Bombyx mori: one gene and its partner. The protein of the gene in region 1 interacts with the protein of each later gene in a biochemical or structural test. Links are inferred from orthologs where the notes say so. Each region holds a gene or a part of one and is shown in the gene's direction. Other genes may lie near its edges.

What was found. The genes of interacting proteins can lie anywhere in the genome.
Region 2: of the proteins of synembryn (region 1) and Go, one has a biochemical effect on the other in vitro, tested with the Caenorhabditis elegans proteins (2 studies listed by BioGRID). The link is inferred for Bombyx mori from reciprocal best matches to the Caenorhabditis elegans genes ric-8 and goa-1.

What each region holds. Positions count from the first base shown.
Region 1 is NC_085119.1:6,705,315-6,711,044, reverse strand, and holds the start of synembryn, read left to right. Parts: upstream 1-2,188; 5' UTR 2,189-2,386; coding exon 2,387-2,470; intron 2,471-2,552; coding exon 2,553-2,692; intron 2,693-3,162; coding exon 3,163-3,634; intron 3,635-4,182; coding exon 4,183-4,388; intron 4,389-4,735; coding exon 4,736-4,874; intron 4,875-5,533; coding exon 5,534-5,730. UniProt on the Caenorhabditis elegans protein: Chaperone that specifically binds and folds some, but not all, nascent G alpha proteins prior to G protein heterotrimer formation, promoting their stability and activity.
Region 2 is NC_085125.1:9,524,403-9,530,321, reverse strand, and holds the start of Go (G protein alpha subunit Go), read left to right. Parts: upstream 1-1,867; 5' UTR 1,868-2,002; coding exon 2,003-2,120; intron 2,121-5,919. UniProt on the Caenorhabditis elegans protein: Guanine nucleotide-binding proteins (G proteins) are involved as modulators or transducers in various transmembrane signaling systems. In the 1-cell embryo, probably together with gpa-16, controls nuclear rotation and spindle elongation during mitosis.

The sequences.
Region 1 (5,730 bases):
TCTATTTTCCACCAAGTTGACATCAATTATCCTTCCTGCATATATATTTATTGTATTGTTTTTTTTATAGTCTAACAAGGGGTGATATTACATTTGCAATTTCTGGGAGTTTGTTGAAAAATATATTGCTTGCTTGACTTACAGATAAATCGAAATCATCAGCCAATTGAGAGAATGTTCTATTTAATGTTATTCTCATCAGACATAATATAATATTTTGTTCAGAAACATTTGTATGTTTCTCAATCAAGCCTATTATGAAACATAATTCTTGTGGAAGACCAATATATAAACGTTGTTTATTTTTCACTTTAGATAAAGTTGTTAACACATTCATTTTTTCAACTTTTTAGTCTTCTTGAGAGCTATAGTCTGAAGTGCACAAGTCTTTGATGGAGTGGAGATATAGAGAGATAACTCATAGTCAACAGTTGATCCTTCTGTTGCTGGTGCATTTGACTCATCACTGTCAAATTTGTCCTCAGGAACAACAGTTTTTTTTTTGCTGGTTCTGATTGTTTACTTATACTTGCTTCAGATATATTAAGGGGTGATGTGGCAATACACACTTGCCTTGCCTTTGTGTTCCTGTGCTGGAGCTACTTGGATAGCTTTGTCATTACTACACCTATTTTCAAGTGGCTGGACATCTGGAAATATGAAATAATGTTAGCAATTTCCAACAAACGTATAGTTTGTAAATATATAGGATTATATGTGTACTGTCGTAGTAGTAGTAGTAGTATTTAACTTCCTAGTCATCATCATCAGCCCATATAATATATCCCCTTGCTGGACACTGGCCTTCACTACCATTGAGAGGGTTTTTAGACCTTAGTCCACCACGCTGGCCTAGTGCTGGTTGGTGGATTACACACCTAAGAAAATCCTAAGAATATTTAGGTGTGCAGGTTTCATCACAATGTTTTCCTTCACTGTTAAAGTAAGTAAGTGATATTACACTGATAAATTTTCATTTTCACAAACTTCTTAGTACCTTATGTAATAGGAACTGAGATCCACTTGCCCATTTTGGCTACTTCCACTAACTAACTAACTATTCTCATTTTTTCTGATATTGTTATTTGATTAGGAGATCTGTGAGTGTAACTAATTATTGACAGTTACACCTACCTTGACTACAAGATGGCAAAGGTATAATAATACGACACATCTCATTTTTAGTCGTCTCTTCAATTTCCTTGATAATAGTGAGTCTTTGCCGTTTCACAAATGCAGGCCGAGGTTCACTATGAGTGAATTTTCGTTTTCTATCTGCCCGACAATCGAATTTGGATGGTAAACAGTTTGGTTTCATTCGAATTCATTTGATGGAGCTCATTATCTTGTATTGCATATAATTCTCCATGTAGTTTTCCAGCTAAAACATGAAATAATTTTCCAACAATTTCAATACATAACCTATAAAAAAATTATTAAAATGTTATTTTACTAATGTTAGGAATATAATTTCGACTGTGTCAAAATGTTATTATAATGTATACCTACATTATCTCTTGAAAGATAAATAATGAACATATTTACTTATTTGTTTATATTACCTATGTGAACTCTTAACCTATCTTTTTTATACCTTCATAGCGATAGGTATATAGGAGGATGGAAAAAATGTATTTGGGCTAACTTTACGCGAATGCACATTATTTTATTTATTTATTTTTTAATTTTTTTAATTAAACTGTATACCAATTAATTGATCCTTCAGGATTTATAATTGTTTTTTTTTCACGATTAAAACCGCGTAGAAAGTTTAGGCATTATAGTTGACGCATGCGCCATAGATTATACACTTATGGCATGCGCAGTACACATATTTTGTATACATTTATTCAACTAATACAATTAATTAAACAAAAAATGAGTAATTTCGAAAAAGAACAAACGTATTTTATATAAGAACAATCGAAAATGAATATTTACGAGTAATTAAGGACGAAAAAATATTAAAAATTGCAATCGAGGGGCTAGCTTTTAGATATATTTTTAATATTTTTTTTAAAATAAATAAATGGGGAACAAACAATTATTAACAGTGAACAATCAAGAACAAATGATGAACAAACGAATTAATAGAAAATAAGTAGAAAACAGGAAAAAAAAATTTTTTTGAGGGGCTAACTTCATTCACCCCTTTAAAACTTTAAACCTACATAAAGTGACATAGACGAACGTGCTACTCCGATAATACATTAGGTGCATAGATTATACACTTAATATATTCGAGAATTAGGTGTCAATATTTGCATTTGATAATTCGATTCGAAATTTCAATTTAAAAACTTTATTGATATTGGTAGTCTAATAAGTTAATTAGAGTGTACACTTTAAATTAAATAGTGAATAAATTTGAATTACACACCAGAAAATGGATGAAATGGAAATTGATGACCTGAGAAATAGTAAGAGCTCAACAGAGATAACGAATATTTTACGAAAATTTGTTAAAGACGTGAGTGAGAATAATTTCTGTGGATTCTTTGGTATATTGGTAATTCCAACAGAATGTTAATCTAATAATCTAATTTTCTCAGAACGAAAAAACTTTCAAATTTCCTGAACTTACGAAGAGGTTTAACAGAGTTTTACTGTGGACAACACTTTTTCAACACCTGCAAAATGATGCTTTGGTTTCAACACATGCACTATGTTTAAAAGCTTTAAGGATTCTTAGGTTTGTGTTAACTAACAATAATAATCTTTTTGAAATTCTACTGACTGTAACAATTGGAACTGGAATAACCATTCCTGAAAATCCATGTAGTAGAGCTGGTGATTCTGAAAGAAGAAAATAGGAAATAGGTAGGGTGGTGGTACCTACCCATGCGGGCTCACGACACACCCTTCCATCATTTTTTTTTTTTAATAATAGGCATTTTAAAATAATTATAATTCAATTGATATAAGAAATGTATGGTCTCATGAGAACAAGGGGGAATTTGCTGGCCTGCCTTTGCTTTATGCTGTGTGTACCAAAATACATTTAACATGATAACTCTCATTATTGATTTAAATAAAGTAATTTCATATTTGTCTCTATAATTATTCACTGTTGATAGTAACTAATTACCATTTCGACTTTCAGAATAGTCTCTTGAGACCCTGTATATGTAGGATGAAATTAAATTTTATGTATAATTTTAGCCGTGACCAAGATGACATTGAAAATGTTCTATGTGAACGTTGGGTCATAACATTAATCGACAAATCAGGCTTGTTAGAGCCTATGGAGTCTGCTGAAAAGGACCCAACTCTATTAGTCGTGCCCTGTAAAGAAGTAGCGATTGAAGCTATGAAGTGTTTGTGTAATATTACATTCAATAGTGAACTGGCTCGTAATGTTTGTGTAAACACAAGAATAGCACATGGGCTTATCACACGAATGAAAATATGCAAACACATTCCTTACAAAAAAGAGTTAATGCAGTATGATATGAAATTGATCTTCATACTGACAGCATTAATAGAAAACATAAGATTAAAATTTAGGCACGAGGATGGTGCAATGCATATGATTAATTATCTCAATGAAATATATTCTGAAAGTTTACAACCTAGTTCTGATGAGGCGAGTGTTAGTGCAAATTCAGAAGATGCTCCAAAATATTACTTCACTGTAAGTTTTTTAATTAATGTTGGGAAATAAGTAGTTAACCTAGTGTGTATACCTAGTTATAAGAAAATTTTAAACATGAACACTTGTGATTATTAAATGTAAAATGTTGGCTAGTAGTGCCTGTCATATAACATTAAGCTTATGACAATTTATTAAAATATGATTAATAGTTAATGCTGTTCATAAGGTAAATTGTTTATCAGTGATATTGAATACTTTTAATTAAACATATAAATATACAGGGTATTTCAAAACTCAATGAAAACCAGGTGAAAGGCAAAGTTATACTAGAGAAAAAAATCCTTGTCATTTAGTTACCACCATACCATTAATTGAAATTACAAATCAATGTAATAAACATTGCTAATTTAGTAATTAATATAAATTAAGTTTCATTGCATTATGGATTACAAATGTTATCATTAAATTTTGGGATATCTTGTTTAAAGAAACAATCTGACATGGTTGTAAAATTTTCTTTTAAAACATGAATAAAGAAGCATTTTTACATAAAATTAAAACGATTAAATATTTAAATTCTCTTACAGGATGAAGATCGAGTAATTGTGTGCGAGTTATCGAAGGCTTTATTTAACCTCATAATATTGCCTAATGAAGATACTCCCACAACAGAGAAAGAGAAACAACAATTTACAAACTTGGTGTCTGTGCTTGGGAAGATAATGACTGTACAAACCTCCTCCAAATCAAATGATTTAGATTTAATGAATAATATTGTTAATCTACTAACAAGGTATTATATTTTTGATAACAATTAAAATAAGTTTAAAAGATTAAATTATAAAAGTTTTATATTTTTTAAATGGACGGAGGGGTTCAGGGTGCACCTGATGTTAAGTGGTTAGCGGAGCCCATAGACATCTACAGCTTACATGTCAACAAGGTGGGTACCTTGAAACATGAGTTCTAAGGTCTCAATTTCTAAAGTACAATGGCTGCCCCACCCTTCAAATCAAAACACATTACTGCTTCATTGCAGAAATAGGAAGGGTAGTGGTATCTACCTGTGCGGACTCACAAGATGCCCTACCACTGGTAATTTTTAACCACCAGTTCAATGTTTCTACTTTCAAATTTCAGCATCCACACACTGTTTTATATGTCCCTGACAGAAGAAATTGGAGACAAACAAAAGCCTGACCATATTTATGAAGGTAGAGATATGACTTCACTGGTCATACTACTTCAATTTTTGAAACATCAGCTAACTGCTAGCGATGTAAGTAATCCAATGTTATTACAAAATATATTATAGGAAAGTTAATGTTTCTTGTAGTTGTCAAAGTTAATGTATACTTAGTTGCCTCCCCATATATTTCAGCATACTTAAGCACTATCTGAAATGTGTTAATTCGTGCCCACATGTTGATATTTATGTTTATGCCGCCCGATCTTCATGCAACATACTATTAAGAATAATTTATTCAGTTGGAACTTTCGGTATTCATCAATTATAAAAAAGTAAATATTATTATTGTGCTCAGTGGCATGCAATGGGAGAGGTCTATGTCCAGCAGTGGACTGCTATAGACTGATAATGATTATGATGAAATATTAATATGACCACTTCCTATAAAAGGTGCTAAGTTATTTCTATATTAGAACTTAGAACCACTGCATTCATCCACAGTGCGATTCCAGAGATCTTTTTTGCCATATACCATCTGGCTTTGGAATGAACTCCCCTCTATGATGTTTCCCGAGCTCTATGACATGTCCTTTTTCCAACGAGGCTTGTGGAGAGCATTAAACGGTAGACAGCGGTTTGGCTTTGCCCCTGGCATTCCTGAAGTCCATGGACGACGGTAACAACTCGCCATCAGGTGGGCCGTTTGCTCGTCTGCCTACAAGGGCAAAATTTTTTTTTTTTTTTTATAGGAGCGACAGAACCTTTACGAAAAACTATCTCCGATATTGACGGTCCTCAATAAATGTGCCCGTGTACGCGTCCAACGTAAGTTCTTACGTAAAGCCGTGCTGCCGCATCTCCGCGACGTGTCGAAGCCCCCCGAGCAGGGCGACGAGCTGCGGAACCACCTGTGCCGGCTGCTGACGACGCCCGTCACCAGCGTGAG
Region 2 (5,919 bases), on another chromosome or scaffold:
CGAACTGTGATTTTATAGTTTTCATAACACAAAAAAAATACGGGTATTAAGAATAATACCCCAAATTTAATTATTTTTTTGTTTTTAGAAAAGGTTCAGGTTGACATGAAAATTATTTAGAAATATAACATTTTTAATTAGGTTTTTTTGTTCCGGAAGATCAAATTTGATTAGGTGAATTAAGTTACATAGGTACTCCTCTAATTCCGCAATGTTATGCATATACACACCACAAGAACATGAAGCTCTAGATTCAACATCAGGCTCATATTAGTACACCAGTAAATAATCAATGAAGTTCTATATTATTTAAATTGAGATACTTATTCTAATGAGATAATTCTGAAGTCTGAAAGCCTTTATAGTACTTACTTTATTCATAGCACAAGTGACAGGCACATTTGATTAGTTACATTCGACTATTTTGCCTACCTTTCATGATTTTTATGAAATTATGAATTATGGTTTGGTAAGTTGGCTGCTATAGATCTCAATAGAGTTAGACCTCATATCTGAAGGCGCAATTCACTTTGTGATGTCTATAGACTCTTCTTCTTTTCGTACCCATCTCGTGCAATAAAAAAATAATGTCTACCTTTTAAGGACCAGATATAATTTTTTATGATTTTATTGAGTCGTCATGTTAGGATGAACGACGAAATTAAAAGACCCAATATATGAAATAATCAAACGAAAAACTTTGTCTTGTCGATTTCAAAGTGAATCAGTTTGATTTTTCAATGTGTTACTATGGTGGGAGTAGTAAAACCTTTGAAAATTTATTGTCAATAGAATCAAACATCGAATGCTTTTGTAGTTAGGTACTCCCCGAATCCTGATCATGCAGGAGCCAGTCACCGTCGACGCCCTAGACACGTCCTTACGGATCCATCAGATCCAATAACCTTCGCACTAGACGCCTTCAGCTCTAGGAGCAGGCTTAGGGACCTCGTTAACCGTACTCGTCGAACTCGACAAAGAGTTCGCCGTGCAACCTAACCCATGAATCAGCTCGCTGAGTTTCTCGCCGGATCTTCTCAGCGGGTCGCGATTCCGATCCGGTAGTAGATTCATTCGCGAAGCAGCTGCTCTTGAGCTGTTAGGTCTCCTTCGGAGGCGCTCGGGTAGCTGTTAGCAAATCCCACCCCTCCTGGCTGAGCCTTTGCTCGCCCACCTGTCCTGGTGAAACTGGAAAGGCCTCCGGGCCACCAGTAATCCTTCAATCATAAAAAAAAAAAAAAAAAAAAAAGTTAGGTACTATAATATTATTTAAAATTTAGACAATTCTTGTTACGTATATAGAATACAGGAATTATTTCTCCTTCTGTGAAAATGAAATGCTGCAATTTTATGGCGATATTCTGACATATATCGAGTACATTAAGATCAATTGCAAGAATTAAGAAAGCAATTTTTGGACCTGATTAAAAATATTGGAAAACAAAATTCAAGGCCAGATAATTGAATTTACCGGTTGTGACAAAAAAAAAGTGAATAATTGTCTTTGGTCATTGTTCAATTAAAGCGCAATGTTTTATTGCGTTTGTTCTCTTTCGTGTGTAGTATTGTCACGCATGTGTGAGCGAGCTCGAACGAAGAATTCCGAAAGGATCCGAACGTCAGTCGAGCGGGGCGCGGTCGCTGTCACGGAGTGGAGTTGGTGCCTGTCATCCGGCCGCCATTATCTCGCATTTGAACGAGTTCGTAAAATCAATTTAAGTTCGCGTTCCCGTCAAGGGTATTCTGTGCCGGGAGCATTCTAAAATCGATAGATTTGTTACGGTGCATCTACTTGTTGGAGGAAAGTGATAATACGGATTGTACGATCAGTGAAAAGTGGTACTGTTAGGTTCGTGTATTGGGTGCTAATATCGTGTAGGGTGGCTCCGGTAGTGCCGGAGCGACAGGACGCGTGTAGAGCGCATGCTGAGAGATCGGTGAGAGCGCGCCCGGCTCGGGAGTCGGGGCGGCCTGCGGCCATAGCATAGGGAGAACTGCCGATATGGGGTGCGCCCAGTCGGCCGAAGAGCGTGCAGCGGCTGCTCGAAGCAAATTGATCGATAAGAACTTGAAAGAGAATGGTATTCAGGCATCAAAAGACATCAAGCTATTGTTGTTAGGTATGGTATTTTACAGTTGTTTCATGTCAACATTTGGCCGCACCCATGTAGTTCCTTTAAACGTAATTTAAAGACTTCGACGACGTTTTCATAGCCCCGTTACCGCTCAACTCTTTTAACTATTTCTGTGCTAGTTTCTGTAGTTCGGTAATGAATTCTAAGTACTTTCTCTCATAATGAATCTAATCACCATATTACAGTGCATGTGTAGTTCTATGTGTAATCGAAAGTTCTATTTTGTTAAACAGGACGAAACAAAATCATTTTAAAGGCATACAAGAGTATAATTATCTCTTCAAAATACATGCACAATTAATGTTACATTCCTCCAGTAATCGTTTATTTATCTTTAAATGTGTATTTTATGTTAAAGGCCAATATGTTATGATTTTGTTGCTATCAATGCCCATTTAATAAATCATTCTCGGTGTTTTAAGTTCTAAAATGGATTGGAAAACGAACTTGATGGTCAAAAATAAGATATTTTTCACTGAATTTCATTGAATTAACCTACTGTTTATATTCTCAACAAAATCATCCAAATGAACTAAGAAGACGAAAAAGAAAAGATAGATTTATTGTATGTTAATAAATCATATACATCCTCACCATCACCATCAACTCACATTAGGATACCCATATTGGCCATCAGCACCAAATGTTCCTTCATAGATATAAAAATAATGTATTGTCGCTAAAAGAAATTTATTGTACTTAAATATATTTTTTGTTCTTCTGTATGTCTTTTACCAAAGCTTATTTTGGTAAAATAAGTAACTAGTATAGATTAGCAATATAATAACATGAGAACCATCTCATGTATTATATGCTAAACATATTTACACACATAAATACCAATTTATGTGTGTAAATATGTCTCTAACATAGATAAGTTTTAAAAGTGTAGAACTTTCAAAACTTATCAACTAAAATGTTTTGTAAACATTCAACAATTTAAAATTGTATTTTACCATGGCTGGTTCCATTAACCTGTTGACAAAATTTTGAACCCTTGCCAATACTCTTCGGTTCACATCCATTCATGAATAGTTTTACTCTAGAATGATGTAATAGTAGTAGTATTATTTTATGTATTTCAGTTTTTGTATTCTTTAAGCCTATTTAAATTCATTAATTGCTATATATTTAACATTAGATATAGCTATTACATATAAGAGTTCTACTATTACCACAAACTATTAAAAAGACGAGCAAAAAATCTAGAAAAGTCATATAATCAGTACAAATTAAATGAAAACAAACCTTTTGTCACCAAAATCTGAAATTTCAATCTATCAGTGAGTTTATTTGTATATTAGCCAAAATGTTGTGTCACAGCAAACTGTTTTCAAAGATATATCTAAACAATAATGAGAGAACCAAATGAATGCAAAATCAATGTAACTCATTTCAAATATATGAAAAAATATTGTCATATAGCAAAACAAAAATTATTAAAATAGCCTACAAGCTATCTCCATGTTTAAAAATAGATTAAATAGAAAGCTATCTAGTTTTAAATGAAACAGAAATTTTGTTCAAGTAGTGTTTACCCAATGGTTAAAATTCAAAAGTAGTCAGTCACTGACACTTTCAAGAAGTATTTGCATTTTTTTTATTGATCTCACTAAAGGTATCAAACAAAAAATACAACAGAACCGTTTTGTTTTGCCTACGACTTATAAAATACAAATAAATTACTATATTAAATTGACTGTTAAATATAAAATAGTAATCAAACCTATGCTTTTGCCTTTGTTCCGAAGAATGGTTCATAGACAAAACTGAGAATATGCTGACATAATAAACAAAATATTTAATCCTTTCCCATGTAAATAGTCATTAATCATAAATTAATATAATAAGAATTGTATGCTTAGTCATGACCCTAATATGAATCATTTGGGTTTTCCTCAGTTCATTAGCATAAGTAATTACATAAGCTCAAAATGCTGTCTTAAAAATTATCATAAATTTAAATATTCACAAGTAAATATGAAAATGTAAATACAGTAAATCAGATTCACCTACCTTTTTGACTAACTTCATAAATTTAAAAACACAAATTTATGAAAAAATGCGCAAGAACATTGACTTTTAGTGATTATTATACAATGTCACAGATTGTGACTCACTCTATCTTAATTAATGATCTAGGAATTTGGAGGTGATTTTTTGTGTAGAAACCTAGAAAGTAGTGTACATCTAGATTCAAGTAATTATGTCTATTTCTGCTGTTGCAGCAGTCGTGTTCCAGATTGATGGGTGGATCATCCTTTACGCCAGGGGCTCTCAAACTTATTTTGTCTACTTCCCACCTTGAGATTAAATAATTTTTTAGCACTCCTATTTTTTCACCTATTTAAAAACCACTATAGTGAGAGCTCAGCCGGTGTCTAAGAGTCCTAGATGAAATTACAAATCGCCTCCCAAGCCTTTACACAATGCCCCCCTTTTTTTGGGTCTTTTACCGCCCCCGTTTAGGCCTGCAGCGACCAGAAGGGGGCGTTATCGCAAAGATGCAATTAAATTGAGTCTGTGACCTCATGTCTTAATTTTAATGCCAGCATTACTTTCTATGTCTGTGATTTTTGGTAAATACATAATACCATGTAGGCCATGAACACTTTCATCCTACTATAATATAAAAATTAAATGTAGCGCATTTTTGTCGAATTAGAATTTTCACATAATTATTTTAACTAGTGTACGCCCAATGTTCGAAATTCGACCTTAATAACTGACATCTCAAGGTCTAGATTCGTTTTCGGCTTATATTTTCTCTTTAGATCGGTTTATTTTGAAAGGAAACCTGGTCAATGGCTTTAATGTTATGAAATTAAGAAAAGAAAGATTATTGGCTAAGAAACAGGAAAAAAGCGGTACTTAACTGTTTTGTCTTTTCCTATTCATAAATGATACACAATTTATTTTTATGATACCCCTCATGTAGATAGTAATAATCGTGTGATTAAGATTTTTAGTTGATTCAATAATTTGAATATATTTAACCATAAATATATTTGTGATCTAAAAGAATACACATGCTAGCTAATAAGCTATACGATATAATACGATATACCTAATAAGGTATATCGTTCGTAATTCTTACGAAGTTAATTGATCTGTCACGTCATGATGTCGTGGCCATGGTGCGTACCAATCCGACCATGAACATCGTTGCTTGTAGTTTGACTTATACATATCATAGGTATGTTTCATTTTGCTATTTAATTATAGTTTCTATCACATCAATATAGAAAAAAAAAAAACATAGGAATTGTCAATGAAAAGGTGAATACAATTTGAGAATTATTAATTTATTTCTTCAATTCCAACTACAAATACGTAATACTTGTATAATACTTAATGTTCCAAGTTCTCAAATTCTCTCTAAATAAGAGAATAAGAGAGTGATATTGGGGCGTTATAAGACCGCATGCTTTAGTTGTTCTACCTAAATTTGTCTCAAAATAAACATGCAAACAGGGTCTGATCTGAAGTGCGGGATAGCTGTTATTCCGATGCAATGTCTTAAATCCAGATTCCTGGTAGGCTCTTACAACTGCTATCGATTCCACATTTCTCGTCTGTGTAACGAAATCGTTGATCTCTCCGCCTTTGAAGATAAAATTTAGTTCTCTTAGTGTTGTGTTCTATGGTAAATAACTTTGAAAATATCCAGTTATTTCCTTTTACTACCGCAATGCCCTGAACAAGAGCAGGGTGTTCCCGATCCATTAACGGTGCTTTTAGGTACCTCAAGCACCGGTCACCGTCCACGTCGAGCCCGTCGCTT